Callithrix jacchus: one gene and its partners. The protein of the gene in region 3 purifies or fractionates together with the protein of the main gene of each other region. This does not show direct contact. Links are inferred from orthologs where the notes say so. Each region holds a gene or a part of one and is shown on either strand. Other genes may lie near its edges.

Evidence for each region.
Region 1: the proteins of SIN3B (region 3) and GATAD1 purify together in Homo sapiens (affinity purification with mass spectrometry; 5 studies listed by BioGRID and IntAct, with this or other methods). This does not show direct contact. The link is inferred for Callithrix jacchus from reciprocal best matches to the Homo sapiens genes SIN3B and GATAD1.
Region 2: the proteins of SIN3B (region 3) and SAP130 purify together in Homo sapiens (affinity purification with mass spectrometry; 3 studies listed by BioGRID and IntAct, with this or other methods). This does not show direct contact. The link is inferred for Callithrix jacchus from reciprocal best matches to the Homo sapiens genes SIN3B and SAP130.
Region 4: the proteins of SIN3B (region 3) and ARID4B purify together in Homo sapiens (affinity purification with mass spectrometry; 3 studies listed by BioGRID and IntAct, with this or other methods). This does not show direct contact. The link is inferred for Callithrix jacchus from reciprocal best matches to the Homo sapiens genes SIN3B and ARID4B.
Region 5: the proteins of SIN3B (region 3) and KDM5A purify together in Homo sapiens (affinity purification with mass spectrometry; 4 studies listed by BioGRID and IntAct, with this or other methods). This does not show direct contact. The link is inferred for Callithrix jacchus from reciprocal best matches to the Homo sapiens genes SIN3B and KDM5A.

The regions. Positions count from the first base shown.
Region 1 is NC_133512.1:57,173,003-57,179,593, reverse strand, and holds the start of GATAD1 (GATA zinc finger domain-containing protein 1), read left to right. Parts: upstream 1-2,470; 5' UTR 2,471-2,755; coding exon 2,756-3,007; exon of another isoform or gene 3,008-3,143; intron 3,144-3,773; coding exon 3,774-3,899; intron 3,900-5,970; coding exon 5,971-6,030; intron 6,031-6,591. UniProt on the Homo sapiens protein: Component of some chromatin complex recruited to chromatin sites methylated 'Lys-4' of histone H3 (H3K4me), with a preference for trimethylated form (H3K4me3).
Region 2 is NC_133507.1:36,456,063-36,462,059, reverse strand, and holds part of SAP130 (histone deacetylase complex subunit SAP130), read right to left. Parts: intron 4,464-5,997; coding exon 4,360-4,463; intron 2,277-4,359; coding exon 2,178-2,276; intron 1,244-2,177; coding exon 1,130-1,243; intron 875-1,129; coding exon 716-874; 3' UTR 1-715. UniProt on the Homo sapiens protein: Acts as a transcriptional repressor. May function in the assembly and/or enzymatic activity of the mSin3A corepressor complex or in mediating interactions between the complex and other regulatory complexes.
Region 3 is NC_133523.1:15,436,279-15,442,970, forward strand, and holds the start of SIN3B (paired amphipathic helix protein Sin3b), read left to right. Parts: upstream 1-2,910; 5' UTR 2,911-2,933; coding exon 2,934-3,044; intron 3,045-3,301; coding exon 3,302-3,408; intron 3,409-4,943; coding exon 4,944-5,097; intron 5,098-6,692.
Region 4 is NC_133520.1:50,065,521-50,071,260, forward strand, and holds the end of ARID4B (AT-rich interactive domain-containing protein 4B), read left to right. Parts: intron 1-2,684; coding exon 2,685-2,812; 3' UTR 2,813-4,431; downstream 4,432-5,740. UniProt on the Homo sapiens protein: Acts as a transcriptional repressor. May function in the assembly and/or enzymatic activity of the Sin3A corepressor complex or in mediating interactions between the complex and other regulatory complexes.
Region 5 is NC_133510.1:13,544,816-13,550,812, reverse strand, and holds part of KDM5A (lysine-specific demethylase 5A), read left to right. Parts: intron 1-3,562; coding exon 3,563-3,697; intron 3,698-4,629; coding exon 4,630-4,735; intron 4,736-5,928; coding exon 5,929-5,997. UniProt on the Homo sapiens protein: Histone demethylase that specifically demethylates 'Lys-4' of histone H3, thereby playing a central role in histone code. Does not demethylate histone H3 'Lys-9', H3 'Lys-27', H3 'Lys-36', H3 'Lys-79' or H4 'Lys-20'.

The DNA of each region.
Region 1 (6,591 bases), on a different chromosome or scaffold from region 3:
TGGGGAACCCCATTTCCGCTAAAAATACAAAAATTAACCGGGCGTGGTGATGCACACCTGTAATCCCAGCTACTTGAGGCTGAGGCAGAAGAATTGCTCTAACCCAGGAGGCAGAGGTTGCAGTGAGCTGAGATCACTCCAGCCTGGCCAACAGAGCGAGAGTCTCAAAAAAAAAAAAAAAAAAAAGAATAATAAATTGCATGGAGGGATGTGACAAGACAAAGGAGCTTAGGCTAAGGCCGGTAAATTGTGGAAAAGTATGTGAGAACTGTATGTGAGAAACTAATGGAAAATAAGGGTTACAAAGTTTTGTAAGGTTTTGTTTGTAGATTTATCTCAGTGGCAGCTCTGCCTCTGGCAATAAGAATATTCTTCTCTTCCTGGTATAGAAAGGGCACCTTGCACAAGGGAACTTTTATGTTCTGCTTCAAACAGAAAGAGGGTGGTCAGAGAGCCTTCCCTGCATCTGTTGTTGCTCCATTGCCATCAGCTCAGAGGAATCAATATGCCAGAGTGGCATATTTTGGGATGGCAGGCCCTAAAGACCTTCAGCATTGTTCTAAAATGAGACAACACTCTTTACCTAGTCTCCTCAACCACTTTTACAGTTTGCTTTAATCCAAATAACAGTCCTGGAAACTTATTTTGTTTTTGTTTTTGTTTTTTTGAGACGGCGTTTCACTCTTGTTACCCAGGCTAGAGTGCAATGGTGCGATCTTGGCTCACCGCAACCTCCACCTCCTGGGTTCAGGCAATTCTCCTGCCTCAGCCTCCTGAGCAGCTGGGATTACAGTCACGCGCCACCATGCCCAGCTAATTTTTTGTATTTTTAGTAGAGTCGGGGTTTTACCATGTTGACCAGGATGGTCTCGATCTCTTGACCTCGTGATCCACCCGCCTCTTCCTCCCAAACTGCTGGGATTACAGGCTTAAGCCACCACTCCCAGCCTGTTTTTTTTTTTTTTAAAGACAGGGTTTCACCATATTGGTCAGGCTGGTCTCGAACCCCTGACCTCCAGTGATACACCCACCTCAGCCTCCCAAAGTGCTAGGATTACAGGCGTGAGGCACCGCGCCCGGCAGAAACTTATTTTTGTTAGGAAAACTGAAACTTAGAGGGAGGATGACTGAGCCACAACCCACACCCTAGGGGGCTGCTCCAAAGCCCTCCTCGAAAGTGGTGCCAAGGGCAGCAGCTATAATGACATCCAGTGCACACAGAAGTGCCTCTGTTGATCACCAATTAACAGTAAAATCGGAATAATATCTCATTCCAACGTTGTCAGAAGCACAAAATGTGGTTTTGTGACAAAATAGGCATTTAATGTTTCTCCTCACTGCTCCCCCCACCCCACAACCCAGTATATTCATCAAGATCTTTCCAAGGATACTAAGTCTAGGAAACCCAGGATCATGAAGAGAGGCTGAGAAGGAGACTGATTTCTCTGGCAAGACCTGTACTGACTAATGACATTAAGAAAGGCGATCTGGCTTCTCATCCTATGCTTGTCCCAGGCCAGCTATTTGTCAACTGCTGGGCGCTCAGAGCCAAAACTGTTTTCCAACAATGCTAAACCAATTATTCAATTTTCTTCACATTCTCCAATTGGAATATTCTTCAGAGTCTCACAGCACATACAACGATATTGCTTAATGGCTGAAGAATGTGTACCTGACATCTTAGGCTGTAAAATGTCTCAATATCAATTTCTAATACATAAATGTCAGTGGATGACATGTTCTGAACCTCTTGTTGATGTCCGTAAATGGCATGCTCTGAATTCACCTAAACAAAAGAATGGCGGGGCGGGGGGGGGGGGGGGGGAGCGGGGGGCATAGGAGGATGTAGATGAGTAGGATTGTCAGTTATTTATTTATTTATTTTGGAAACTCACTCTGTCACCCAGGCTGGAGTGCGATGGCGCGATCTTGGCTCACTGCAACCTCTACCTTCCGTCTCAAGCTCTTCTTCCACCTCAGCTCCAGTATAGCTGGGATTACAGAAGCCCGCCACTGCGCCTGGCTAATTTTTGTATTTTTAATAGACACGGGATTTCACCATGTTGGGCAGGTTGATCTCGAAGTCCTGAGTTCAAGTAATCGGCCCGCCTCAGCCTCCCAAATTACTGGGATTGCAGGGAGGAGCCACCACGCCAGGCCTGGATTGCCAGATTTAGCACATAAAAATACAGGACTCCCAGTTAAACGTGTCTGAGATAAACCATTATTGCATAGGATACCCGTGCTAAAAAAAAAAGATTATCCGTCGTTTACCTGAAAGCCACATTTAATTGGGTGTTCCGTATTTTACCCAGCAAACTCTAGGCCTGAGACCAAAAAGTTTGAGAACCGCGCCCCTAAGCGACAGAAAGTGGAACTGCAGCAAGTTCCCAGTAATTCCGGGTGCTGCACTTCCGGTCAGGCAGTCGGGCTGTGGGGCCCTGGGGCCAGCTCATCGCCGGAAGTCTCCGTGGGCCGCTGCCCGGCGTTCCTCGCCGGTCTGGTCCGTCCTGCTTCCCAGTGCCTCAGGCCTCCAGGGGCTGATGCTGGGCGCTGAGCCGGCACAGCTGGCGGAACCCGCTTCCCGCCTCCAGAGGGCAGCGGCCGCGGCCTAGTCCCTTCACGTGCAGCTCGGTGCCGTCGGCCTCACAGCTCTTCCTATCGCCGGGAGTGGCTGGCCGACCAGTGGGCGGCCGGGCCAGCCTCCGCCATTCCCGTGTCTCTGCGCCCGCGGGGGCCGCCCGAGCCGGCCACCATGCCGCTGGGCCTGAAGCCCACCTGCAGCGTCTGCAAGACCACGTCGTCCTCCATGTGGAAGAAGGGCGCGCAGGGGGAGATCCTCTGCCATCACTGCACGGGCCGGGGCGGCGCGGGCGGCGGGGCTACCGGCTCGGGGGCTGCCGGAGGGACTGGGGGCAGCAGCGGCGGCGGCGGCTTCGGCGCGGCGACCTTTGCCAGCACCTCCGCCGCCCCTCCGCAGAGCAACGGGGGCGGGGGCGGCAAGCAGGTGAGCTCCTCCGGCCTCTCCCGCCGGCGGAGGCCGAACAGGCGCTAGGCGGGCCGGGACCGGGCTGGCGGGGGAGCGGGCGGGTACGGGCTTCCCGGATTGCGATGCTCCTGCCGGGCTGGGACGCCTCCTCTCCACCTCCTATTGAGATTTTTGGTTTGGCGCATTCCGAAGCACCTGCTATTGTAAGAAATTTAAAGCATAAGGAAGCAAGAAAATGTAAAGCCCTTCTGAAAATCTCAGTATATGCACGTCTACACAGTCGTAAACAGGGTCATGCCACAGATGCAGGACCTCATTCCTTGTTAATAAAGGTTTTGTCATATCAGGTTATGAAGTAAAGATTATTGTCATTATTGTAAATGGCAGCTTAAGTATTCCATTGTAGAGGATGCTATAACCTAACACTTTCTCTGGCCTTAGGGAGTAAAGTTAAGTGTTTTTCTCCTGTAGGCACAACAAATCAATAGGTCTTGTCTTGGCCTAGACTGACTCCTCCTCCTGCCTCGTGCCCTATTATGAGCAGCTCACACCTTTGGGAGGCTCTGTAGAGGCATGTCCAGCGAGCTCCAAGATTCGGCGTGCTGGACTTGTAGTTTTAGCCCAGTTACTGTAATTACCCCGTTTGAAAAGCAAAGGCGCACTCTTAATCGCTAAATGCTCTTATAAGGTGCATACTCCAGGATCCTTGTAAGATGGTTGTACCGGGACTGCAACCGTTCTACATTTTTTACTTTCTCTTTTTGTTCTTTAATTTGTATAACAGAGTAAGCAGGAAATTCACAGGAGGTCTGCTCGGCTCAGAAACACTAAATACAAATCTGCTCCGGCTGCTGAAAAGAAAGTTTCCACCAAAGGAAAAGGGAGAAGACACATATTTAAATTGAAAAATGTAAGATGTTTGTTGACAGTGCCTTTTACTGTAATGATGTTGTGTATATTTTGCCACTGCCTTCATTTCTCCCCACTGAACTTGGACTCTGCCCTTGGAAGCCCTTCTTCAGTATTTTGAGGGTAGTCCAGACTCCCCAAAAGGGAATGAGCTCTGTTGCAGGAGGCTCACTTTTTATAAAGTTAATAATAAATACTCTTTCCTTTTTTTTAGCTTTTACTTTTTCCCCTGGAAAATATAAAATACGGGTTTAAAAGAAATATTGCCGGGCGCGGTGGCTCACGCCTGTAATCCCAGCACTTTGGGAGGCTGAGGCGGGCGGAGCATGAGGTCAGGAAATTGATACCATCCTGGCTAACACGGTGAAACTCTGTTTCGACTAAAAATACAAAAAATTAGCCAGGCATGGTGGTGCGTGCCTGTAGTCCCAGCTACTCAGGAGGCTGAGGCAGGAGATTCGCTTGAGCCCGGGAGGCGGAGCTTGCAGTGAGCCAGGATAGCACCATGGCACTCCAGCCTGGGCGACGGAGCGAGACTCCTTCTCAAAATAATAAATACCAACCTTGAGCCCATTCTTTTGGGTTCTCTATGCAAAGGAAGAGGAGAGATTGTGGTTCTTAATATGGCCAGGTACACTAAGAAAACTTTTTTTTCCATTCTTTAAAAATTTAAGTAAACATTAATACTAGAACTCATCATTTGCATATTTATTTGTTATAAAAGCCCCAGAAAATGTATCTTCTGATGATGATGGATTTGATGAATATGAGTCAAAAATTTTGTTTAGCCTTATCTCCTCTTCTGCTCTAAGAAAAGAGATTGTTGAAAGACCTGTGCTGGAAATAGTTGAAAGCATATTTTTATTGAAATTAAATTCTCACTTTTTATAAAGAAGGAATAATGGTCAGACACAGTGGACAGTGCATTATGGACTATTTTTTTAAGTCTCAGTATGATATTTTCTTTCAGAACAGGAGTGTTTCACTTACCAGTTAAGACATTTCTGAAGTTGGGCATATTTCTAAAACACAAAGGAACCCTGCAGGAGACTTATGCAAATGACAGTATTTTCTTTTTTAATTTAATTAATTTATTTTTTAAATTTTACTTTAAGTTCTGGGATACATGTGCAGAAAGTGCAGATTTGTTACATAGTTTACATGTACCCTGGTGGTTTGCTGCACCTATCAGCCCATCATCTAGCGTTAAGCCTTGTATGCATTAGATTTTTGTTCTAATGCTCTCCCTCCCCTTACCTCCCACCCCCGACAAAACCCAGTATGTGATATTTTCCCCTCCAAAGTATTTTCTTATTCAGAGTAGTTGCTTCAAATTTATTTAAGATTTTTATAACTTAGTTAAGTGAGGCATTTGTTGATTACATAAAACATGTTATTTATATTTGTATCACATATACACATTTTTTTCCTTTTAAGTATGGTATACCATGTTCGCAGTAATTATTATTATTTCTCTGCAACCACTTTCTTCGATGGAACCAAGCAAGACAGATCTGGAGAGGTCTAGTTTCTATGTTGTGGCATAAAAATATGTATTGTACCTTTGGTAGAGATTTCAAAAGTGGTTGGATGGTGGCAAATTACTAAGAATTCTTGAAGTTTCTAAAGCCATAGTTCCAGCTTGCTAGAAAATTGATGTTGAGTATTATGGCTAGTTCCATAGTTGAATTGGAAAATGTCTTCAAGGAGACACTTTTTCACTTTGTATTCACCTGTACATTCTTTATTACTTGCATTCTGTCATGCTCAGGCTATTAGAACAGGTATATTTTTATAACTGGAATGTTTATGTGTAGTGGAGCTCTGAGAAGACTTTGCATTAGATCTCAGCAGCATAATCAGAAGCTTGTCCTTTGTCTTAGAAATTGGAGTGGAAATACTGAGACTGCTTTACTACAACATTCAGAAAAATATTTATCTTTTTATTGTAGTTCTTGTCACCAAACAATTACATTTTAGTATTTCTCAAATTACAGAACTCTCATAGAGCTGGGAAAATGCCTGTACATACATACTATGAATGTGCTGATTTTTTTTTTGTATTTTCATAGCCCATCAAAGCTCCTGAGTCAGTTTCCACCATAATCACCGCAGAATCAATCTTCTACAAGGTAATATTTTGTAGTTACTGAAGGAAGAGTTGGGCCTAGTGGGTAATGTGCCACTAAAATATTGGATTAGTTTAAAGGTCTCTGCTACTCTATATTTGTATAAGGTGTGATGATGATACATTTTATTACCTTCTTAGCTGTTTTCCACCATAAGCGGCTATAATTTTTATTTATTTTTTATTTTTTGAGATGGAGTTTTGCTCTTGTTGCCTATGCTGGAGTGCAATGGTATGGTCTTGGCTCACCGCAACCTCTGCCTGCCAAGTTCAAGCCTTTCTCCTGCCTCAGCCACTGGAGTAGCTGGGATTACAGGCATGCACCACCACGTCTGGCTAATATTTTGTATTTTTTTATAGAGACGAGGTTTCTCCATGTTGATTACACTGGTCTTGAACTTCTGACCTCAGGTGATCTGCCCACCTTAGCCTCCCAAATTGTTGGGATTACAGGCGTGAGCCACCGCGCCTGGCAAGTGGCTGTTACTAAAACATCTCATCTAGAACTGAAGTGGGAGGAGAAGAAGCCTACTGAAATATGATGTGAGGATCTTAAGTATTTTTT
Region 2 (5,997 bases), on a different chromosome or scaffold from region 3:
CCAGCTACAGAAGTACAGATAATCAAGATTGTACTTCAGAACAAGGATCTGAGAGCAACTTATGGTGTTGCCTGCTCTGAACCTCCACAAAAACCCCATTCTGACACACGCAAGACAGACGATATAACAATTTCACACGGGAATGGTTCTTTTAAAAAATGACAAGAACTAATAGTTCAAACCCTTTAGAGTGTGAGATGTGGCAGCTTGCTTGGTGCCGTGGCACTGCTGTAAAAGGCCAACATGGGCATTTGAAGGTCAGGCAGAAGAACTGAATAGGGTGGGTGGAAGAGGTTTCATTTTCAGTGTAGAGAGATAACAGATGGTCCGAGTGGAGGCTTTCAGTCCAGGCTCGGTATGGGGCCTGCAGGAATCCACTATATAAATACAGTCTATAAACCGGACGGCTGAAAAACACCAGCCAGCCATCCTTGTCACTGCTTCCAACTGGTGGACACTGACGCATCCGAAGTCACTTAGGACATAGAGCAGAGTTAACAGGGGTGGACCCAAACGCAAGAAGGTGGCTCACTGTGTCCAGTCAGCTCTGATCCTTTCATGCCACTGGGTGCAATGGGTCCCTCTCCTTTCACATATGAATGAAGGAACACTTCCTTTGTTTCAATGTTCCACTTTGGAAATAACCAAAACCCTCCCCCCACCCCCACCATCATTCTTCATAAATTCTGCTTCCAATCTCCCGATTCTTCTGGGTCTAGGCTTTTTCCTTTCGCTTCAATTTTGACACTTTTTTGACAGTCCCATTCTTGTTAAGAAGCTTCAGGACGCGGTCTTTATGATCTAAAACCTTAAGCATGGAGTCTCTGGCTTCACTGATTTGATCCATCACAAGTTTACATCTCTGCATATTTCCCTGAAACAGAAGACATTACATCATTAATCAGTGACCATGAGGATAGTACAGCTTTTAAAAAACTGCTTGCCTTTGGGCAGAGGCTATGTTGAGGCTTCCACAGAGAGAAAATGTCTTCTTGTTTCTCAATAGTGCAGGCTGAAGCACATGTTTTTACTGATGATATGAGAGACACAGGGGGAAATGGAAGAAGTAGGGCTTTATAGAAAGCAACTTCATAAAGTGGATGATCAGAAGGAAGGGGCTAATTCAAACCTGTATCAGTTCATTTATTCGGTGGAGATCATCATCAGTTGCTGCTTTTTTCTTTGGGATAATCCCTTCCTGTAGGTTGGTAAGTCTTTCATAGACATCATGTTCAAGATTCGTCTGCAACACACAAAACGGAGGATATCATGACCTCAGAGATATTTTTCTATGTCAACCCCAGGCAAATGAACCCACCTTGAATCACTTATGTAAACTGTTTAGAGCTGTTTGGGTGACAACGTCCTTTCTCCTAAGGACTAAGATACTAAGGTTTAAAAACAGTAAAGGGGCTGGGCACAGTGGCTCACACCTGTAATCCCAGCACTTTGGGAGGCCAAGGCAGGTGGATCACTTGAGGTCAGGAGTTCGAGACCAACCTGACCAAAATGGTAAAACCCCATCTCTACTAAAAATATAAAAAACTAGCTGGGTGTGATGGCGCATGCCTGTAATCCCAGCTACTTGGGAGGCTGAGGCAGGTTTGCTTGAACCCAGGAGGTGGAGGTTGTAGTGAGCTGAGATCGCATCATTGCACTCCAGCCTTGGCAACAAAAGCAAATCTCTGTTTGAAATAAATAAAATAAAAACAGTAAAGAAAACTGATGAACAAAGATTTACATTATAATTTGCCATAGTTGAGAGTCTACCTTCAAAGATAACTTTTGAATACTGCCTTGAATCCACAATTCTTCTGAAAAACAAGTCTCCAAGTGTCATAGAAATGATTTTGCTAAGTCAAAAACAGCCAAGGCACTACATTTTTTAGATACTGAGAACAATGTTCTTCAGATCACTGCTACTGAAAAGAAGGAAAAACTTTTTTTGAGATGGAGTTTTACTTTTTTTGCCCAGGGTGCAGTGCTATGGTAAGATCTTAGCTCACTGCAACCTCTGCCTCACTGGTTCAAGTGATTCTCCTGCCTCAGCCTCCCGTGTAGCTGGGATTACAGGTGCAAGCCACCACGCCCGGCTAATTCTGATTTTTAGTAGAGAAGGGGTTTCTCCATGTTGGTCAGGCTGGTGTCAAATTCCTGACCTCGGGTGATCTGCCCACCTCGGCCTCCCAAAGTACTGGGATTACAGGCGAAGAAGGAAAAACTTTATGAGGTTGTTGCCTCCTCTTCACCCAGTTGCCGAAGGAGGGATTCTTGCCCTAGGATTATAGAAATGGCCAAACATATAAGATCCAACACTGGACAGATAAGATTAACAGTTTATGAGTCACAAATATAGTCATGCACTACTTCATGACAGAGATATATTCTGAGAAATGTGCCTTAAGGCAATTTAGTTTTTGTGTGAACATCATACCACATACCTAGGCTATATGAATAGAGCCCACTGCTCCCAGTTACAAACATGTACACCACATTACTGCAATAAATAGTGTGGGAAATTGATGTATTTATGTTAAGTATTTGAGTATCTAGATATATCCAAATATAGAAAAGATACAGTAAAAATATGGCCTGACAGATCAAGAATGGTACTCCTATACAGAGCACTTATTACAAATGGAGCTTACCAACACTGTTAAGTTGCTCTGGGTGAGTCAGTGGTTGAGTGCGTGAATGTGAAGATCCAAGACCTCACTGTACAAATACTGTAGGCTTTATAAACACTGTGTCTTAGGCTTCACTAAATTTATTAAAAATATTCTTCTTCAATAACAAATTAACTTTAGCATACTCTACATTTTTTACTTTATAAACTTTTAAATTGTTTTAAACTTTTTGACTCTTTTGCAATAAAACTTAGCTTAAAAGGCACATTGTTGAACAACTTTGGACACTGTTGGATGGTTATGAAAAATATTTTCTTTCTTTATATCTTTATTTTATAAACTTTTTCTTCCTTTTTTATTTTTGAGACAGTGTCTTATTCTGTCATCCAGGATGGAGTGCAGTGGCACGATCATGGCTAAGGGCAGCCCCTGTCTTTTGGGCTCAAGAGATCCTCCTACCTCAGCCTTCCAGGTAGCTGGGACTACACCTGGCTAACTAAAAAAAATTTTTTTTGGTAGAGACAGGGTCCCACTATGTTGCCCAGGCTGGCCTTGAACTTCTGGGATCAAGCAATCCTCTTGCCTCAACCTCCCTAAGTACTGGGATCACATGCCTGAGCCACTGAACCTGGACTTGTTTTTGCTATTAAAAAAAAATTTAACTTTTAAAACTTGTTAAAAATGAAGACACAGCACAGCCTGGGCAACATAGTGAGACCCCGTCTCTATAAAAAATTTTTAAAAATCAGCTGGGGCCGGGCGCGGTGGCACACACCTGTAATCCCAGCACTTTGGGAGGCCGAGGTGGGTGGATCAGAGGTCAACAGATCGAGACCATCCTGGTCACCACTGTGAAACCCTGTCTCTACTAAAAATACAAAAAATTAGCTAGGCATGGTGGCGCATGCCTGTAATCCCAGCTACTTAGGAGGCTGAGGCAGGAGAATTGCCTGAACCCAGGAGGTGGAGGTTGCGGTGAGCCGAGATTGCGCCATTGCACTCCAGCCTGGGTAACAAGAGGGAAACTCCGTCTCAAAAAAAAAAAAAAAAAAAAAATCAGCTGGGTGCCATGGCTCACATCTGTAGTTCCAGCTGTTTGGGAGGCTGAGGTGAGAGGATTATTTAAGCCCAGCAGGTCGATCATGGCTGTAGTAAGATGATCATGCCTCTGCACTCCAGCCTGGACGACGACAACAACAACAGAAAAGAACAGGAGAGAGGGAGAGGTATGCTCTGGTCTCTGAAGGATGATGTGTGTGACTGGCTTATCTGAGTACTATTGGAATACTGGAAACTGGCAGGGAACTGGAGCCTACTACTCAGTGAGGAGCAGGAATTGTGTGCCTGGTCCCTGTGGTGTAAGGATTATTTGCCTAGGAGACTTCATCTGAGGGAGCAGAGTGGGGAGGAGGGCCTCATGGTTAGGCCATTTGAGGGTCCCCCTATTTCAGATGTCACAACACAGCACATACCACTGAATCTTAAACTTACATCTTATACCACAGTTGTTCCATATATTTTGGATCTGGGTACCAGAACTCAGATATATTTCAGTTATAATCACATGTAACTGACACAGTGATTATATTACATAGCACATGTAAAAATTCTACCATTACCCATGTTAGCTGGAAATGCTTCAGAGTTACTTTTAAAAAGTTCATGAACTCGGCTATCTCCAGTGTCTTCTCCTCTCTTCAGCATGATGAACAACTGCTAGAACTCCACTTACCAGCTGTAGTAACTGGGCGGCACAGAGGTGAACTTTCCAGCCTTGAGCACGACAGGATACTCCTTTCTGATTAGCTATTTCCTGCAGCATAGCTTTCTTCTCCTCTGTAACCATAAAAAATAAAAACAAGTATATTTCACTGTTTCAAATGGTAAATGGTTTGTGTTCAAGCAGCCTAAATGCCATTATTTTAACAAGAATTTAGGTTTTTTTTTTTTTGAGATAGTGTCTGGCTCTGTCACCCAGGCTGATGAGCAGTGATACAATCTTGGCTCACCACGACCTCTGCCTCCCAGGCTCAAGCAATTCTCCCACTTCAGCCTCTCAGGTAGCTGAGACTACAGGTGTGCACCACCATGCTGGGCTCACGTTTGTATTTTTTGTAGAGATGGGGTCTTCCTATGTGCACAGGTTGGTCTTGAACTCCTGGCTCAAGCAATTTGCCTGCCTTGGCCTTGCAGACTATTGGGACTACAGGCATGAGCTACTGTACCTGGCCATAAGAACTTCTTCACTTGAGGTAGTGGTTTCATTTGCGGGGGGAGGCAAGCCAAGAGGACCCCAGGCTGCTTACTCCCCTCCTTCCCCTCCACTAAGTGCTACCTCCTAAAGCAGGGCTGTCACTCAGAGAAAAGCTTGCCACATGCCAAGCCAGGGCCTCCCCCATCTCTAAGGCCCTGGCTCAAACATTTTGCCAGAAGAAGTGGGCTGTAAAACAGATACCTTTTAATTTCTTCCTGAAGCAACTGAGTCCATTTGCAAACGTGTGAAGAAGTTCAGACCTAACAGTGCTCCCAAGAACAGTGGAGGCTATGGTGAAGGGAACTGGGGAGAGATTTGCGGAACTAATGAAGATATAGCTATGTGCAGGCTGGTTTGAAGGAAAGAACAAAGTATAAAAGAGCTGTGGGAGCCTTTCTGAGGGCAGAACAAATATGGAACACTGGTATCAGAAACTATTCTGCCCAGGGAACTACAATTTGACTGAATTTGTTTTATAGAGGAACTTGTGCTTCAGGGCAGTGTTGAAAACATTAGAGAAGACAGGCAGCCATCAGTAGCTTTATCAGCTGGGTAAGGTGAGGGAAAGAGTGGAGGAAACAGCCTGGTGGCTCATGCCTGCAATCCTAGCACTTGGGAGGCCGACTCAGGGGTAGGGGTGGGGGAATACTGTTTGAGCCCAGGAGTTTGAGACCATCCTGGGCAACATGGTAAAACCCCATCTCTATAAAAAATACCAAAATTAGCTGGGCATGGTGGCATGCACCTGTGGTCCCAGACATTTGGGAGGTGGAGGTGGGAGGATCGCTTGAGCCCAGGAGGCCGAGGCTGTGGTGAGTCATTATCATGTCACTGCACTCTAGCCTGTGCAACACTGCGGTACACTGTCTCAAAAAAGAGAGTGAAGGAGAGAGCCCACCAAAGCCACTGTCATTGTAGGGTGACTGTGGGCATGTGCAAAGGTGAGCCTCCCTGAGCAGCAACAACAGAAGCAGAACATACATGTGCAAATGGGGGTTGAAGCAGCTAGATGTCGATAAATTAACCCAGTCAGTCACTGAACAAATAGACAAGCAAATAACAATTGGAAGCCCAACAGTGGGGAGATCAGTCTGAGCTGCTTCAATACATTATCTA
Region 3 (6,692 bases):
GTTTCTATTTTTTTTGCTCCGTTTTTCTTTCTTTTTAATGTTTTTGTAGAGATGGGATCTTGCTATGTTGCTCAGGCTGGTCTCGAACTCCTGGCCTCAAGGGATTCTCCCCCACCTTGGTCTCCCAAAGTACTGAGATTGTCAAAGGCTGATTTGTTACACAGCCATAGCAAGAGAAATTTAGGAGCTGTTACACATATACCTTTTCTTGGAAGTATTTGTTACACGTGAAACATTACATGTGTGATTATTAGATTCCTGTCTATCCTGAAAGACTGAAAGCTCTTAGCCAAATTTCTGTTCTTTTTTACTATTTATTCCTAACACTTAGCACAGTGCCTGGTAAACAACACATTCAATGCCAGTTTACTCCCAACTTTCCTGCTCCTTTTCACTGATAACAAGTGAATGCACTTGGTCATTAAGTGAATGTTCATTTATATCATAAATGCTGACTGAGTGGCTGAGTCAGGGATTTGCCTTAGAGATGGTCCTCAAAACAAACATGACCTACAAGGGACTGTGGGAGGACACAGAAGGGGACTGGGAAAGCTTTCTGAGGGAAGGTGATATTTGGGTTGGGTTTGGAAGGATGTGTAGGTGTTTTCGCGATAACAAAGAGGCACCACAGTACTTCTGGCAACGGAAATGACGAGGGCCAATGCTTTGGGCCAGGAAGCAGGCAGGTCAGTCAGGCAATGGTGTGAGGTTCTGCCCAGAAGCAGTTTGCTTGGGTGGAACATCCTGCAGGAAAAGGTTCCTAAGGACAGATTCTGACAGTCGGCAATGTAGGTGCTTGTCTCATTAGAGACAGGTCTCCCTATCTCTAATGAGATGAAATCTAAGTGAGAGGGTAGACCCCTTGCCTCCTTCAATTTCACCTCCTCCCTCCCTCCCTCCCTCCCTTCCAGATGGGAAGGAGGGTGAAGAAGGAAAAAAAAAATGAAATAAAATACCAAAGAGCTGGGGAAATGACTCCCTTTTTAGTTCCCAGCGTCTCTGCTATCTGTTAGCCTTGAAAGAGCTGCAAATGAATGTTATCCCTGCCGGCTGGAGCCCGGCACTGGTTCACGCCCCCACATCTCCACAAAACAGGTGCCCTCCTGGAAACACCTTTGCCAACAAATGGCTTGTTACTTTTGTCTTGTCTCTGTAAGCCCCCTCCCATGCTGGTCCCCACTCACGCTGCATATGAATTAGCAAATAAATGAAGCCAAAAGATTGTAAGGTCAGACATCCAGCAAATGGACAATGACATAGTTCCGCTTCAGCTTCCCCTTTAGCGGTGTAAGCCTATAAAAGGAGAGAGAAGCTGCAGTTTGGGGAGCTCAGTGAGTGAGGCTGTTGCCCCTCGAAACTCCCAGCTGAATAAAAAAGCCACTTCCTTCCTCAGTTTGGCGTTTGATAGGTTTGTTCCATGCCGTTCCTGCTTCATAAGCATCTACACTGCAGGCTGTCAGAATTGGTTTTTAGAAACCTTTTCCTGCAGAATTTTCGAGGTGGCTCACGCCTGTAATCCCAGCACTTTGGGAGGCCAAGGCAGATGGATTGCCTGAACTCAAGAGTTCAAGACCAGCCTGGGCAACACACACACACACACACACACACACACACACACACACACACACAAAGAAATAGGAAGACCTTGGAGGTTTGGAAGCAGTGGTGGAATGAACCGAGTTTTTTCTTTCTTTTTTTTGAGATAGAGTCTCTGTCACCAGGCTGGAGTGCAGTGCTGCAATCTTGGCCCACTGCAAACTCCACCTCCTGAGTTCAAGCGATTCTCCTGCCTTAGCTTCCTGAGTAGCTAGGGCTACAGGCGCGCGCCACCACACACGGTATTTTTGTATTTTTAGTAGAGTCGCAGTTTCACCATGTTGGCCAGGATGGTTTCAATCTTTTGACCTCGTGATCTGCCCACCTTGGCCTCCCAAAATGCTAGGATTATAGGCGTGAGCCACCGCACCTGGCCTGAGTTTTTTCTTTTCTGTTTTTTCTTTTTTTTTTTTTGAGGTGAGATGCTCTAAAACAAACAAAAAACACTGCTATGCTTCCCAGGCTGGAGTGTAGTGGCGAGTTCATAGCACGCCAAGCTAATTTATTCACTTTCAATTTTTTTTTAGTAGAGACGTGGATCTTGCTCTGCTGCCCAGGAGGTCTTGAATTCCTAACCTCAAGCATTTCTCCTGTCTTTATCTCCTAGATAAAGTGGCCTGAGCCACCACCCTCAGCCTGGAGTTCTTGAGAGTACCAGGGCTGAGAAAGTTCCAGGGTTAGGAGGCTCCTAAACTGGTCCAGCTGGGAAGTAATGGGACCAAGGACAGGGAAGTGAAAATGGAGGATTAGGACTAACTCAAAGGCCGTTTAGCAAAAATTCACCATGCAAGGCCCTGTATTAGGGCGCTGGGTGCTCATATTTCATTGTCCCATCAGCTCTATAAAGCAGGGGCCCACAGACCTTTTCCATAAAAGGCCAGATTGTAAATACATCAGGTTCTGCAGATCTGTAGGATCTTTAGCAACTAGCTACTCTATTGTGCAAAAGCAGGCTGAGATCCTAGGTAAACTGGCAGGCGTGTCTGTGTGCCAATAAAACTTTATTCAGGGACCTTCAAATGTGAATTTCACAAACTTCTTCACTGGTCATAGACTATTCTTCTCCTTTGGATTTTTCCCCCAGCTATGTAAACATGTAAAAATCATTCTGAGCTTTCGGGGCCAGACCAAGAAACCGGCGGGCCTTGGTTCGCCTACCGCCTGCTATATAAATCGTTAATTAGGTTTGAGAGCAATTTTAAGAAGATCCTCAGAGGAGACCCTCAAAGAACACCGCCCCTCTAACGTCATCAAACCCCGCCTCCAAAGGCGGAGGCTGCGCATGCGCGGGAGGCCCTCGGGCGGGGGCGGGGCGGGGTGCAGCTCCGACTTCGAACATGGCGCACGCTGGCGGCGGCGGCAGCAGTGGTGGCCCCGCGGGCCGGGGGCTGAGTGGCGCCCGCTGGGGACGCTCGGGCTCCGCGGGCCACGAGAAACTGCCGGTGCACGTGAGTGGCATCCCCGCCCTCCCTTGGGGACCTCATCTTCTGGACTCCGCGGGCAGGCGCCCCTCACCCAGGCCCCGCCCGGCCCTGGCCCCGGCCCCGCCTCAGACTCCCCTCTGCTCGGTCCCCGATCCCTCACTCCTCACCTTTCACCTTGGCCCTCCGAAGGTCCGGCCTGTTCCCTTCTCCTCCAGGGATCCCAGCCCCTCGTTCCCTCCTCCCACGGCCCCGGCCCACCGGGACTCTTCCCCGCTCTGCAGGTTGAAGACGCCCTCACCTATCTGGACCAGGTGAAGATCCGGTTTGGCAGCGACCCCGCCACCTACAACGGCTTCCTGGAGATCATGAAAGAGTTCAAAAGCCAGAGGTACCCGCGGGGCCCCTCTCCACCTCGGGGGACCCCCGTTGGCCGGAATCGGGCCTAGCGGGGTGGGACCTCCCCTCTCCAGGCTGCCCCCTTAGCCGGGTGACCTTGCGCGGGTTGTCGAATCTCTCAGAGCCTTAGCTCTTTCTCGTAACAAAAATGGAAATGGGTAGTACCCACTTTGTGGAGCTTCGTGGGGATTCCTGAAAGGAGGGCAGGGACCTGGAGGGAGCCAGGGAAGGCGAGGCCGTGCACACTCATAGAGTCGAATCCTGCCTTGATTTAATATGTTGATTGTTAAATAAGTTTTGTTCATGAAAGATTTGGTGGGACCCATTTTGATTTTTTTTTTCAAGTCTTGGTGATTGAAATTTTTGGCACCCTCTTCCTCTTTAATCTTGTCCTCAGCATGCTTCTCTGGGCTCACCGGAGTCCCAGGCCTGCTTGGAAGTGAGACGCATAAAATGCTTAGTAAGGGAGCTGGCATACAGAAAACGTTTAAAACACATGAGCTGATTTTGCAGGCCCAGAATCAAGGAGGATTACAGATAGATGGGAAACCCTGGGATCATGCACTTGTTTTTGTAGGAGGCTTAATGGGACTTGGAATGGGTAAGGGATCCACCTAAGTGGCAGAGGTGGCACTAGAACTCAGACCCTCTGACTCAGATGCATTCGGGTTACATCCCTACCATGCTGCTGCCCCCTTTGGTGGGGCTGGCCTGGTCTCCTTCCAGGAGCCCAGTGCTAAGGGCTGTGATGCAGCCCGGAGGGAGACCCCATCTCTCCCCTCCTATTTATCTTACACTTTTCCCATACTTGGCTGTACCGTTGGTGTTTATGCATTGCAGTCGTTTGCTCAGATGGAAACCTGTGTCATAGTCATCCCCATCTGATATGAAATGAGGGAATTTTTCACATTGCTTAGAGGACTTAGGCCTCCTGCCACTTCTTGGAGACCAGGACTTGCGGTTGGCTCTCCTGACATTTTCAGAACCCAGTACTCATTCGTGGAGTGTTTTGCGGGAGCTGAGCAATGTCAGTATTTTCTGGTTCTCACCAAAAGGGCACAGGGAGCTCAGGCCTAGCTGCTCAGGAAATAGATCATGGTGTACAGATGCTATCTCAGGGGCACCTTTTTTTGGAGACGGAGTCTCACTGTGTTGCCCAGGCTGGAGTACAGCGGCATAATCTTTGCTCACTGCAACCTCTCTCTCCTGGGTTCAAGTGATTCTTGTGTCTCAGTAGCTGGGATTGCAGGCACGCACCACCATGCCTCGCTAAGTTTTGTATTTTTAGTAGAGACAGGGTTTCGCCATGTTGGCGAGGCTGGTCTCAAACTCTTGACCTCAGGTGATCTGCCTGCCTTGGCCTCCCAAAGTGCTGGGATTACAGGTGTGAGCCACTGTGCCTGGTGGATCATATTAGCTTGCTTTGTTGTCTGTGGAGAAGGTTGTTATGTGGCAGTATCAAGGGAGTAGGGAACAGATTTCATTTTTTATTTGCTTCCCAAGACCCACTCTTGTTGTTTCTTCTAGTATCGATACTCCTGGAGTCATCAGACGTGTCTCTCAGCTCTTCCACGAGCACCCTGACCTCATTGTTGGATTCAATGCTTTTCTTCCCCTCGGATACAGAATAGACATTCCCAAGAACGGGAAGTTAAACATACAGTCGCCTCTAACATGCCAGGTATGCCGCTACAGTGATTCGGGTGTTCTCAGCCTTCACCGCGTATATCTTGCTACTCAGGTTGGGCCACGTGTCTCTCTTGTGTCATTGCTAGAAAGCCACTTAACATCCGTTCTTTTTCTAGACATGCTCATTGCTTCTAGCACAAATCAAAATAGATACGGAAACACCTACACAAGCAGCCTCTGCCTCCCAAATTGATCTGCTGGGAAGATTTAAATCAAGAGTGGATGTCAGGGAGGTATCCTCCTAATGCAGAATTTTGTGTGAAGTCTGAGATCTGGGCCTGAGGCTTTCCCAGCGAGTGTACCAGGCAGGCTTGCCCTTGTACTTGCTCATGTGGTCGTCTACCTCTGATCACTCTCAGAGCCACCTGTGAAATAAAGTGGTTGAGATGGTGTGAGAACAGCCAGTTTTATGTTTCATGGGATTGTCAATAGGATCATTAGCTCAGTTGGGACTCCTGACTTTGCTTTGGTTCCTTCTTTCTTGGGTGAGAGGTGCTGCCCTCTTATTTATTTATTTATTTTTTTGAGACAGAGTCTGGCTCTGTCATCCAGCCTGGAGTGCAGTGGTGCGATCTCAGCTCTGTGTAACCTGCACCTCCCAGATTCAATCAATTCTCCTATCTCAGCCTCCCGAGTAGCTGGGATTACAGCCTCCTGAGTAGCTGGGATTACAGGCCACCATGCTCGGCTAAGTTTTGTATTTTAAGGAGAGGCGTGATTTTGCTATGTTGGCCATGCCGGTCTTGATCTCCTGACCTCAAGTGATCTGCCCTCCTCTGCCTCCCAAAATGCTGGAATTACAGGCATGAGCCACTGCACCCAGCCTTTTTTTTTTTAAAGACAGGGTCTCACTTGTTGTCCAGGCTGGAGCGCAGTGGCCCTATCATAACTCACTGAAGTCTCTACCTCCTGGGCTCAAGCAGTCCTCCCATCTCAGCCTCCTAAGTAGCTAGGATTACAGGTGTGCATCACCACGACCAGCTAATTTATTTATTTGTAGTGAAAGAGTCTCACTTTGTTGCCCAGCCTGGTCTCAAACTCCTGGCCCCAAGCAGTCTGCCCACCTTGGCCTCTCACAGTGCTGAGATTACAGGAGAGAGCCACTGGGCCTGGCTCACTGCTCCTTCTATCTCTGATGTCTCTTTATCCTTTAGCTCACCAGCTCCTCTGAGAAAAAGAAAGCCTGTTTAAGATTCCCTTTTGTAAGATGACCGTTGTCATTTTTTTCCACGTCGGCACTATTGCCATTTAGGGCATAATTCTTTGCTGTTGGGGTCTTCCCAGTGCACTGTGGGATGTTTAGCAGCCAGCATCCATAGCCTGCATCCATCAGCCCTTCACTCAGTTCTAACAGCCAGAAACATCTCCAGACATTGCCAGGTGTCTCCCTGGGGGAAAAGTGCCCCTGTTGAGAACTGCTTGTATAAATGAACCAGCTCTCCCAACCTCCTCCAGTCCTCACCCCCAGAATTTTAGCAGGGAGTGTCAGAATCTACTGCTGGAAGCACTTGGTAGGTCTCTCCTCTGATGGAAGACATGTTAGAGTGCCCAGTTAGGGATCTGACACTCTGCAGTCAGTTGGAAAGA
Region 4 (5,740 bases), on a different chromosome or scaffold from region 3:
GCCTGAACCCAGGAGGTGGAGGTTGCGGTGAGCTGAGATCGCGCCATTGCATTCCAGCCTGGGTAACAAGAGCGAAACTCCGTCTCAAAAAAAATAAAAAGTCAGCTTGTAAATACTATTTGAAGAAAAATCCATAGAAAAATGCTTACCCTAGTTAACCAAAGAAATGCAAATCAAATAGGGTATCATTCTTACCAAAAAAATTAAAACTAAAACCAATGCAGGGACAGTGTAGTGAAATTTATATATTTATAGGTTACAAATTATATGGAATACTACTCAACTTTGTAAAGAAAAAGATTTGTATGTACTGATATGGAATGATCTCTTAAAATATATTGTTAAATTGGGGCCGGGCACAGTGGCTCACCCCTGTAATCCCAGCACTTTGGGAGGCCAAGGTGAGCAGATCACCTGAGGTCAGGAATTTGAGACCAGCCTGGCCAACATAGTGAAAACCCCGTCTCTACTAAAAATGTAAAAATTAGCTGGGCATGGTAGCAGGCACTGTAATCCCAGCTACTTAGGAGGCTGAGGCAGGAGAATCGCTTAAACCCAGGAGGTGGAGGTTGCGATGAACTGAGATGGTGCCACTGCACTCCAGACTGGACAAGAGTCAGACTCCATCCCCAAAAAAACATTATAAAAAAATTTATATAAACATTATTAAATTAAAAAAGAAGACACTGAACTATGCTTCCGCTTGTGTTTTTAAAGGTGTGCTGTTATCTACATATTTTAAATTTGCATATCATCTCTCTAGTTTCTAGAGATAAAATTCCTGTAGAACAGGGGTTGCAAAAATTTTCTGTAAAGAGATAATAAATATGTTAGGCTTTGTGGGCCATATGGTCTCTGTAGAAACTTCTCATCTCTGCCATGGTAAGTGTGAAATCTCTCATAGGCAGGATGTAAACAAATGGGCATGGCTATGGCTGTGTTCTAACAGAATTTTCTTTCCAAAGTCAAGTAAGCCAGATTTGCCCCTGGGGCAGTTATTTGTCAGCCTTTCTTCTAGAGTTTTAAAAAATGTGAAGAAACTGGTAATAGTGGGGAGGGGAATTTGATTGATTAGGAGGTTCCTAGATGAGAAGGAAATACACTTTTCTACCTTATTACCCCTGTGCTGAATGAATTTTTAAAATCTGTGTATGTACGGCTGGGCGCAGTGGCTCACACCTGTAATATCAGCACTTTGGAAGCCTGAGGCAGGTGGATCACGAGGTCAGGAGATCGAGACCATCCTGGCCAACAGGGTAAAACCCCCATCTATACTAAAAATACAAAAATTAGCTGGGCATGGTGGCACATGCCTGTAATCCCAGCTACTTGGGAGGCTGAGGCAAGAGAATTGTTTGAACCAGGGAGTCCGGAGGTTGCAGTGAGCCGAGATTACACCATTGCACTCCAGCCTGGCAACAGAAGGAGACTCCATCTAAAAGAAAAAAAAAATCTGTACATATATTTATTTTAAAATATTATTTTATGAACATTAATTTATAACAATGAGAGACGCTAGGTGAGGTGGCTCACGCCTTTAATCCCAGCACTTTGGGAGGCCAAAGCCGGCAGATCATGAGGTCAGGAGTTTAGACCAGCCTGGCCAATGTAGTGAAACCCTGTCTCTACTAAAAAAATACAAAAAATTAGCCGGGTGTGGTGGTGGGCACCTTTAATCCCAGCTACCCAGGAGGCTGAGGCAGGAGAATCACTTGAGATTGCGGTGAGCCAAGATCGCACTACTGCACTTCAGCCCAGGCGACAGTTCAAGACTCCGTCTCAAAAAAAAATTATTTTATGAAAACTAATTTATAACAGTGAGAGAGGCTAGGTGTGGTGGCTCACTCCTGTAATCCCAGCACTTGGGAGGCCCAGGTGGGCAGATCACCTGAGGTCAGGAATTTGAGACCAGTCTGGCCAACATGGCAAAACCCTGTCTCTACTAAAAATATGAAATTAGCTGGGCTTGGTGGTGTACACCTGTAGTCCCAGCTACTTGGGAGGCTGAGCCAGGAGAATCACTTGAACCCAGGAGGCGGAGGTTGCAGTGAGCTGAGATCGTGTCACTGCAGTCTAGCCAGGGTGACAGAGCAAGACTCCATGTGAAAAAAACAAAACAAACAAAAAGGAACAGTGAGAAAATTTCTCTGAGGAAAATAACTAATGTGTTATTTGCTTTGTAAACGTAGTAGAGGAGAATGCAACAGTTGAGCTATGTATTGTTTTGATCCAACTTGAAGAAGCAATTAAGCCTCTGATTCTCGTCACCATTTATATTACAAGAAAACATCAAGTACAGAAAGATGGAGGGATTAGGAGGGGAAAACAGATTTTTGGTTGGATTGCAGATTTTTCCTGTTTCGATATTTGTTTATAAAAAAAAGTATATTCTCTATTTTTTCTGTATCTTGTAGACCAGGCACAGTTTTTTCGCCTCTTTGATCCACTCAGGAGCCTTCCCTGGTCTGTCCCTTTCATTACTTCTGTAGTTGGGCACTGTCTAGCTACCTGAGCTATACACTAGCTTTTCCTCTCTTTACATCGTGGTACTGTGAGAACTGACCACTGTTGTAAGCTAAATGATTTTGGAGAATACAACAGAATTTTAGTTCAGAGGACTAGTATTTTCTGTTGTTAGACATACATTTGTATTAAGCTCTTGGTTTGGTCTCCCTTTTCCTTAGGTGCTGCTACATCCTCATCCTCTTCTTCACCTTCATCCAGTTCCATAACAGCTGCTGTTATGTTAACTTTAGCTGAACCATCAATGTCCAGCGCATCACAAAATGGAATGTCAGTTGAGTGCAGGTGACAGCAGGACTTGCTAAAGCACTTTGCACTTAATGGCTGTTGAGGGCCACTTTTTTTTTTATACTGCACAGTGGCACAAAAAAATATCAGACAAGCACTATTTTATATTTAAAAATTGTTTCTTGACAAGCTGACTTGGCACTTAAGTGCACTTTTTTATGAAGAAAAAGTACAATGAACTGCTTTTCCTCAAGCAATAATTGTTTCCAACTTGTCTGGGAATTGTGTGTCTGGTAACTTGAAGGCCTTCCACTGTGGCAAATGGAGGCTTTTCACTGCCTGTAGAGACAATACAGTAAGCATAGTTAAGGGGTGGGCCAGAACATGTTAAGATAACTTACTGTATATGTATTCCCTTGTATTTTGTTAAAGCTGGAACATTTGATATTTTTCCATTTATTTATGAAAAAATATGAACCTATTTTCATTTGTACAAGGTAATTGTTTTTTAAAGCAAGTCACCTTAGGGTGGCTTTAATTGTATAAGTCAAGCACATGTAATAAATTCAAAACCTGCAGTTAACAGGATATTAGACATCAGTCCTGGTAACCAAATATTAAAGATTCTCTTTAAAAAAGACTGAACATGTTTACAGGTTTGAATTAGGCTAAAAGGTCTTGCAGTGGCTTTTCATGCCCCTTCAAATTGGAATGGAACTACTGTACTTTGCCATTTTTCTATAAATCAGTATTTTTTTTTAATTTTGATATAATTGTGTGAAAAAAGAAAATGGCTAATAAACTGTATTAAATCTTAATGTATAAAGATTGTACTTAGCCAGTTCAAAGTGTATATTTATTCATAATGAATTATAACAGTTATATTTTTGTGTTTTCTTGTAAATGTTTCTTTTCCCTTAAATACAGATAATTCATTTGTATTGCTTATTTTATTATGAGCTACAACAAAAGGACTTCAGGAACAAGTAATGTATTAGTATGGTTCAAGATTGTTGATATGAACTGTCTCAAAAGGATGGTGGTTATTTTAAATATAAATAGCTAATGGAAGTGGTCGGCCTATAAAATTAAATGCCTTGTATAAAATCCAAAATGAATGCAAAATTGTTTTCACTTGTATTGACTTTATGTTGTATGATTCCAATCTCTGTTCTGTTTGGCACTTGTATTTAATTCTTCACCTTTGTAAGACATTTGTATATTGCGGATGTGTTCATTCAAGCTATTTAATACCTGGCACTGTTAATACACAGTACTTTATTGTACAGACTGTTTTACTGTTTTAATTGTAGTTCTGTGTACTTCTTTTGGATGGGGCTGGCATGTTTTATTTGTTTTCTGGCAATACGACATGTGAGAATTTCAAAGCGTTTTGTTGTAGATGCTAACGTGTCAGAATCCTTTACATTCAACTTTTCTAAGAAAAGCATTTCAGTCTTGTAGTGTGTGCTTACAGTAACTAATTTTGTTGAAAATGGTTTCAAGTTATTCAAATTTGTACAGGACTGTAAAGATTTGTTGACAGCAAAATGTTGAAGAAAAAGCTTATAGAATAAAAGCTATAAAGTATATATTAGGATCTGCAAACAATGAAGAATTATGTAATATATTGTACAAATGTAAGCAAAGGCTCTGAAATAAAATGCCATAGTTTGTGAATCCTTGATTTTTGTTTCTAAAAGATTTAGTAATTTTAGTTCATTTCTATATGTGATGGAACTTGACTGGAACATACAAATCCAGCATGTATTATCACAGGGGATTAATTGATATACAAAAAAGGGAGGCTTCTACCTATACAAATTAAAAGTCCATTAACTAGATAAGGAAAGTATTAGGCATTCTTTTTTTTTTTTTTTTTTTTTGAGACAGAGTCTTGTTCTGTTGCCAGGCGCCAGGCTGGAGTGTGGTGGCACAATCTCAGCTCATTGCAACTTTCACCTCCTGGGTTCAAGCAATTCTCCTGCCTCAGCCTCCCAAGTAGCTGGGACTACAGGCATGCGCCACCACGCCCAACTAATTTTTGTATTTTTAGTAGAGACGGGGTTTCACCATGATGGTCAGGATGGTCTCGATCTCTTGACCTTGTGATGTGCCCGCCTCGGCTTCCCAAAGTGTTGGGATTATAGGCTTGAGCCACTGCGCCAGGCCCCTCTTTTTCCTTTTTTGACATAGAGTCTCACCCAGGCTAGAGTGCAGTGCTGCAATCTTGGCTCACTGCAACATCTGTCTCCCAGGTTCAAGCAATTCTCCTGCCTCAGCCTTCCGAGTAGCTGGGATTATAGGTGTCTTCCACCACACCCGGCTGATTTTTGTATTTTTAACGGAGACAGAGCTTCACCATACAGGCTGGTCTTGAACTCCTGACCTCAGGTGATCCACCTGTCTCGGCCTCCCAAAGTGTTGGGATTACAGGCATGAGCCACCATGCCTGGCCTAGGCATTCTTTTATCTTTGCATACACTATTTTGCTTGAGTCTGAATTTAAATATTCTTCTTATCACTTGGAGAACTGTCCAGATTAGAAAATAAAGTTGTTTTTTTTTTTAATTTAACACTTGAAACCATTACCAGCAGCTTTTTAAAATTTTAATTTAGTTGGACCCTCCTGGGTCTTTTATACTTCAGCGTATTCTGTTGGACATTGGAATCATCGGCATTGTTAAAAGTATATTCAGTATTCAGACCCCACTCCCTGACAGGTAGTACCTGGATGTTGATCTTTAATTTTTAAAGGTCTCCAGTGATACTAACATGCATCTGGGTTGAGAAACACTGCTTTGCCACAAACTTTTAAAAATCCATAATCTAGTTTTTTGGCCTCATGTACTGACTTTACACCAAGGAAAAAAACCTTCCTTTAATACAAAGAGAAAGGAAATAAACTTTGTTAAGGCCTAGAAAGCTCAAATTTTTTTTTTTTTTGCGACAGAGTTTCGCTCGTTACCCAGGCTGGAGTGCAATGGCG
Region 5 (5,997 bases), on a different chromosome or scaffold from region 3:
TTTTTTGAGACAGAGTCTTGCTCTGTTGCCCAGGCTGGAGTACAGTGGTGCAATCTCGGCTCGCTGCAACCTCTGCCTCCTGGGTTCAAGCGATTCTCCTACCTTAGCCTCCTGAGTAGAGTAGTTGGTACTACAGGTGCATGCCACCATGCCCAGCTAATTTTTGTATTTTTAGTAGAGATAGTGTTTCACCATGTTGGCAAGGCTTGTCTGGAACTCTTGATTTCAAGCAATCCGCCCACCTTTGTCTCCCAAAGTGCTGGGATTATAGGCATTAGCCACTGTGCCTGGAGTGTGTAAATTTTTAAGAACTGTCAATTTGTTTTCCAAAGTAGTTGAATCATTTACTTTCCCACCAGTAATACAGATGCTTCCAGTTTTTCTACATCTTGGCCAACACTTGGTATTGTCAGTTTTTTAAAATTGTAGTCATTCTGGTTAGTTGTATAGTGATATCTTATTGTGGTTTTAATTTGCATTTCTCAAATGACTAGTGATGTCTTTTTTCTTTTTTCTTTTGCTTGAAATGGAGTCTGCTCTGTTGCTCAGGCTGGAGTGCAAGTGGCAAGATCTCTGCTCACTGCAACCTCCACCTCCTCGATTCAAGCACTTCTCCTGCCTCAGCCCCCTGAGTACTGCTGGGATTACAGACGTGTGTCTCCATGCCTGACTAATTTTTGTATTTTTAGTAGAGATGGGATATCACCATCATTTTGGTCAGGCTGGTCTTGAACTCCTGACCTTGTGATCTGCCCGCCTCTATCTCACAAAGTGCTGGGATTACAGGCATGAGCCACTGCACCTGGCTGCATGTTTTCATATTCATATTATCCATTTGTATATCTTGGTGAAGTGTCTGTTCAGATTTTTTTTTCTATTATACTTTCCTCCAGAACAGATCTTTTTTTTTTTTAAATTATATATGTATATTTGATTGCATTTTAGGTTCTGGGGTACATGTGAAGAGCATGCAGGATTGTTGCATAGGTACATACATGGCAATGTGGTTTGCTGCCTCCATCCCCATCGCGTATATCTGGCATTTCTCCCCATGTTATCCCTCCCCAACTCCTTACCCTCCCACTGTCCTTCCTCTAGTGCCCCCTACAGACCTCAGTGTGTGATGCTCTTCTCCCTGTGTCCATCTGTTCTCATTGTTCAACACTCGCCTATGAGTGAGAACATGCGGTGTTTGATTTTCTGTTCTTGTTTAAGTTTGCTGAGAATGATAGTTTCCAGGTTCATCCATGTCCCTACAAAGGACACGAAGTCATTGTTTTTTATGGCTGCATAGTATTCCATGGTGTATATGTGCCACATTTTCCTTGTCCAGTCTATCATTGATGGGCATTTGGTTTGGTTCCAAGTCTTTGCTATTGTAAACAGTGCTGCAATGAACATACGTTTGCATATGTCATAATAGAATGATTTATAATCCTTTGGATATATACCCAGTAATGGGATTGCTGGGTCAAATGAAATTTCTATTTCTAGGTCCTTGAGGTATTGTCACACTGTCTTCCACAATGGTTGAACTAATTTACACTCCCACCAACAGTATAAAAGCCTTTCGATTTCTCCACATCCTCTCCAGCATCTGTTGTCTCCTGATTTTTTGAACGATTGCCATTCTGATTGGCGTGAGATGGTATCTCAACATAGTTTTGATTTGCATTTCCTTGATGACCAGTGATGAGCATTTTTTCATATGTTTTTTGGCCTCATATATGTCTTCTTTTGAAAAGTATCTGTTCATATCCTTTGCCCACTTTTGAATGGATTTGTTTTTTTCTTGTAAATCTGTTTTAGTTCTTTGTAGATTTTGGATGTAAGTCCTTTGTCAGATGGGTAGATTGCAAAACTTTTTTCCCATTCTGTTGGTTGCTGCTTCACTTTAATGATTGTTTCTTTTGCTGTGCAGAAGCTTTGGAGTTTAATTAGATCCCCTTTGTCTATTTTGGCTTTTGTTGCCAATGCTTCTTGTGTTTTAGTCATGAAGTCCTTGCCTACGCCTATGTCCTGAATAGTTTTGCCTAGGTTTTCTTATAGAGTTTTTATAGTGTTAGGTCTTATGTTTAAGTCTTTAATCCATCTAGAGTTAATTTTAGTGTAAGGTGTCAGGAAGGGGTCCAGTTTCTGCTTTGTGCACATGGCTAGCCAGTTTTGCCAACACCATTTATTAAACAGGGAATTCTTTCCCCATTGCTTCTTTTTGTCAGGTTTGTCAAAGATCAGATGGTTGTAAATGTGTGGTGTTGCCTCCGAGGCCTCTGTTCTGTTCCATTGGTCTATATCTCTGTTTTGGTACCAGTACCATGCTGTTTTGATTACTGTAGCCTTGTAGTATAGTTTGAAGGCAGGCAGCATGATGCCTCCAGCTTTGTTCTTTTTGCTTAGAATTGACTTGGCTATGTGGGCTCTCTTTTGGTTCCATATGAAGTTTAAGGTGGTTTTTTCCAGGCCTGTGAAGAGGGTCATTGGTAGCTTGATGGAGATAGCATTGAATCTATAAATTACTTTGGGCAGTATGGCCGTTTTCATGATATTGATTCTTCCTAACCATAAACATGGAATGTTTTTCCATTTGTTTATGTTCTCTCTTATTTCCTTGAGCAGTGGTTTGTAGTTCTCCTTGAAGAGGTCCTTTACATCCTTTGTTAGTTGTATTCCTAGGTATTTTGTTCTCTTTGTAGCAATTGTGAATGGGAGTTTGTTCCTGATCAGATTTTCTTTTTTAATTGTATTGTTTGTCTTCTTATACTTGTAAGTTTGTTATATAGTTTGTCTACAAGTTGTTTATCAGGTAAATGATTTGTAGAGCTTTTCTCCTATTCTGTGGTTTATCTTTTCATTTTTGTAATAGTGACTTTTTGAAGAACCATTTATTTATTTATTTTTTCCTTTTATGGATTGTACTTTTGGTGTCATATTTAAGAAATCTTTTCCAAAGTCACAAAGATTTTCTTCTTTGCTTTAATATAGAAATTTCATAGTTTCAGCTTTCATATTTTGATCAGTGATGCAATTTGAGGCTTTTTTTGGGTGTGTGTAGTGTGAGGTAAAGATGTAAGTTTATTTTTTAGTGGGGAAGGGAATATATGAATATTGAGTTGTACCAGCACCATTTGTTTAAAAGGCTTTTTCCCACTGATTTAACTTACCACCTTTGTTAGAAATCAGTTGACCATAGAAGTGTGGGTTTATTTTTAGGCTCTGTTTCGTTGCATTGATTATGTCTACGCTAACACTAGTACTACATTGTCTTGAGTACTACAGCTTTATGCTAAATTTTGATATTTCATAGCGTAAGTTTTTGTTGTTCTTTTCCAAAATATCTAAACAACTGACATTTGCACATAAATTTTAGGATCAGCTTTCAATTTCAATAACAACAGAAAGCTTGCCAGGATTTTGATAGGGATAGCTGCAGGTCAGTTTGAGAAATAATTGCAGTCTTGTTTTAGGAATTTTAGGGATCTGGTAATTTATTATTTTTCCACTGATTCTGAAGCATGATTTCTTATCAGTGAACCTGCTCTCTTTCTGTTCTCTGATCTTTTAGGGTGTACAGATGCCTAATTTAGATCTTAAAGACAAAGTGGAGCCTGAGGTTCTCAGCACTGATACCCACACTTCCCCAGAGCCGGGCACAAGAGTGAACATTCTGCCGAAGAGAACAAGACGTGTTAAGTCTCAGGTATCGATGTCAAGTGATCCTCCTGCCTCAGTCTCCTGGGTAGCTAGGACTTGAGGTGTGTGCCACCTTGCCCAGCTAATTTTTAATTTATATTTTTTTTGGTAGAGGTGGGGTCACTGTGTTGCCCAGGCTGGGAGAAGCTTTCCCATTGATTGATTGATTCAATGTCCCACTCGTCTGTCACCCAAGATGGACTGCAGCAGTGTGATCTTGCCTCACTGCCTCAGCCTCTCAAACTGAAGTGATCCTCCAACCTCAGCCTCCTGAGTAACTGGGGCTACAGGTGCACACCACTGTGTTTGGCTAATTTTTGTACTTTTTGTAGAGATGGGACCTCCCTATGTTGCCCAGCTGGTCTATAACTCCTGAGCTCAAATGATCCTGCCTTGGCCTCCCAAAGTGTTGGGATTACAGTTGTGAGCCACTGTGCCTGGCAATTTCCTGTTTATGACAGTCTTTCCGGGGGGATTCCAGTACAATTTTTAATATCTCACAGGCTAGAACTGGATCACATTCCTACCACTTTGTTGGTCATCACCAACAAAGAAAAATGAGGCTAGCATGATTGACTTAGGACAGTTGTAGTTCACGCCCTGAGATGCCCTCTAATCAGATACAGGTGCCCAGTAGCAAGTTAGAAGTGGGGATTTCTCTTGTGTGATAACCAGCAGTGTCTGTCTTTAGACAGCTTGACAACTATACTTTTATGAGTCATAGATGAATTTTATTTTGTGGAAAACAATCTGAGTGTTGCACAGTGTTTTGGTGACTGTTTTCGACTGTGGTAATGAGGCAGGGAGTGGATTTACAGAAAATAAATCCAATAATTTGTTCTTTTGTTTTGAAGATGATCCTGAAACTTTTCTTGGGTAGCAAAAATAAATGCCTGAATTAGCACAATGATGTTAATGTGAATTTTGCTTATTTTTTAGTCAGAATCTGGAGATGTGAATAGAAACACAGAGCTGAAGAAACTTCAGATTTTTGGGGCTGGGCCCAAGGTTGTGGGCCTGGCAATGGGAACAAAAGATAAAGAAGGTAAAATTTGTTATTTGGTCATGAAAAGAGATAAGGTTCAATATGGCTGTAAAAAGATTCATATGATACTTGAATTGCCGTCTGTGCTGGGAAATTCTTAAGAATTGTAAAGTTGCAGTGTGGTTTCTAGGCAAATCACATTTTAAATGCCAGATATCTTAAATTTAAGATGTGAAGAGCAATATTATGTTGAATTTTTATGATTTTGGAAGAGATAATTTTTCTCCTTTATGTGAAGTATATGATACAGAAATGTATTACAGTTTCTAAAGGCTGATTTATGAGAGAATGGTAGAATTAATGGTTCTTACCTAGTGATCTAAAGCTTTTAACTCTTAGTATCAACATATACTGGGGGATACTTAGAATTTTAAAATTCTAACCATAATTTTGATTATTGAAATAATTGTCCTTGATACATTATGACTGTTCATTTGAATAAACTGTTTTCTTCAGTAAGTCTAGTACTCGCAGCTTTACATGTTGGAAAGCTTTTTGTGGGTAGAACTGCTCATGCAGAGATCAAGTTCCACTATTCTATGTATGTCAATTTTAAAACTGTTTAACAAAGATTAGGCTGGATATGTTTTGACTATATAAGAACGTAATGAAATGCTATAGTCACAAATATTAATTACCATGTACTTACATGTGTAGTTAAGTCATACAATTCAGATTGTGGACTGAACTCTAGAGGATTAAATAATATTGTTCCATCTCTCTCAAAACATCCCATGTAATAAGACTTACTGAATACATTATAACAATATTTCCTTTTTAAGAATTAAATACTTTGTTATTTTTGTAATTACAGTACTGGTTGGCAACAGTGTTAGAAATTAGTCCTTGAATAATTTGGGAGTCCTCCAAGTAATACATACAAGTTGTATGTAGAATGTACTGCATACAAATATAGCATTAATGGGTAAGCTCTCTGGAGCTTATGTGACTGGATTAGAATCGTAAATCTGCCTGGCTGTGTGATTTTGAGCAAGTTACAAACTTCACTGTACTTCAGGTTCTTCATCTTCAGTGAGAGATAATAAATAGTATATCTACCTCTAGATATACTATTAGAAATATATACTAATACTAGTTACACAATTTTAACTAAGTAATTTTAAATAGTGTCTTGTTCATAGTAAGCTCTCAACATTAGGTTTTACTATTATTGTATAACTTTTTATTTAAAGATGAGGTCACCCGAAGACGAAAAGTTACCAACAGGTCAGACGCATTCAACATGCAAATGAGACAACGGA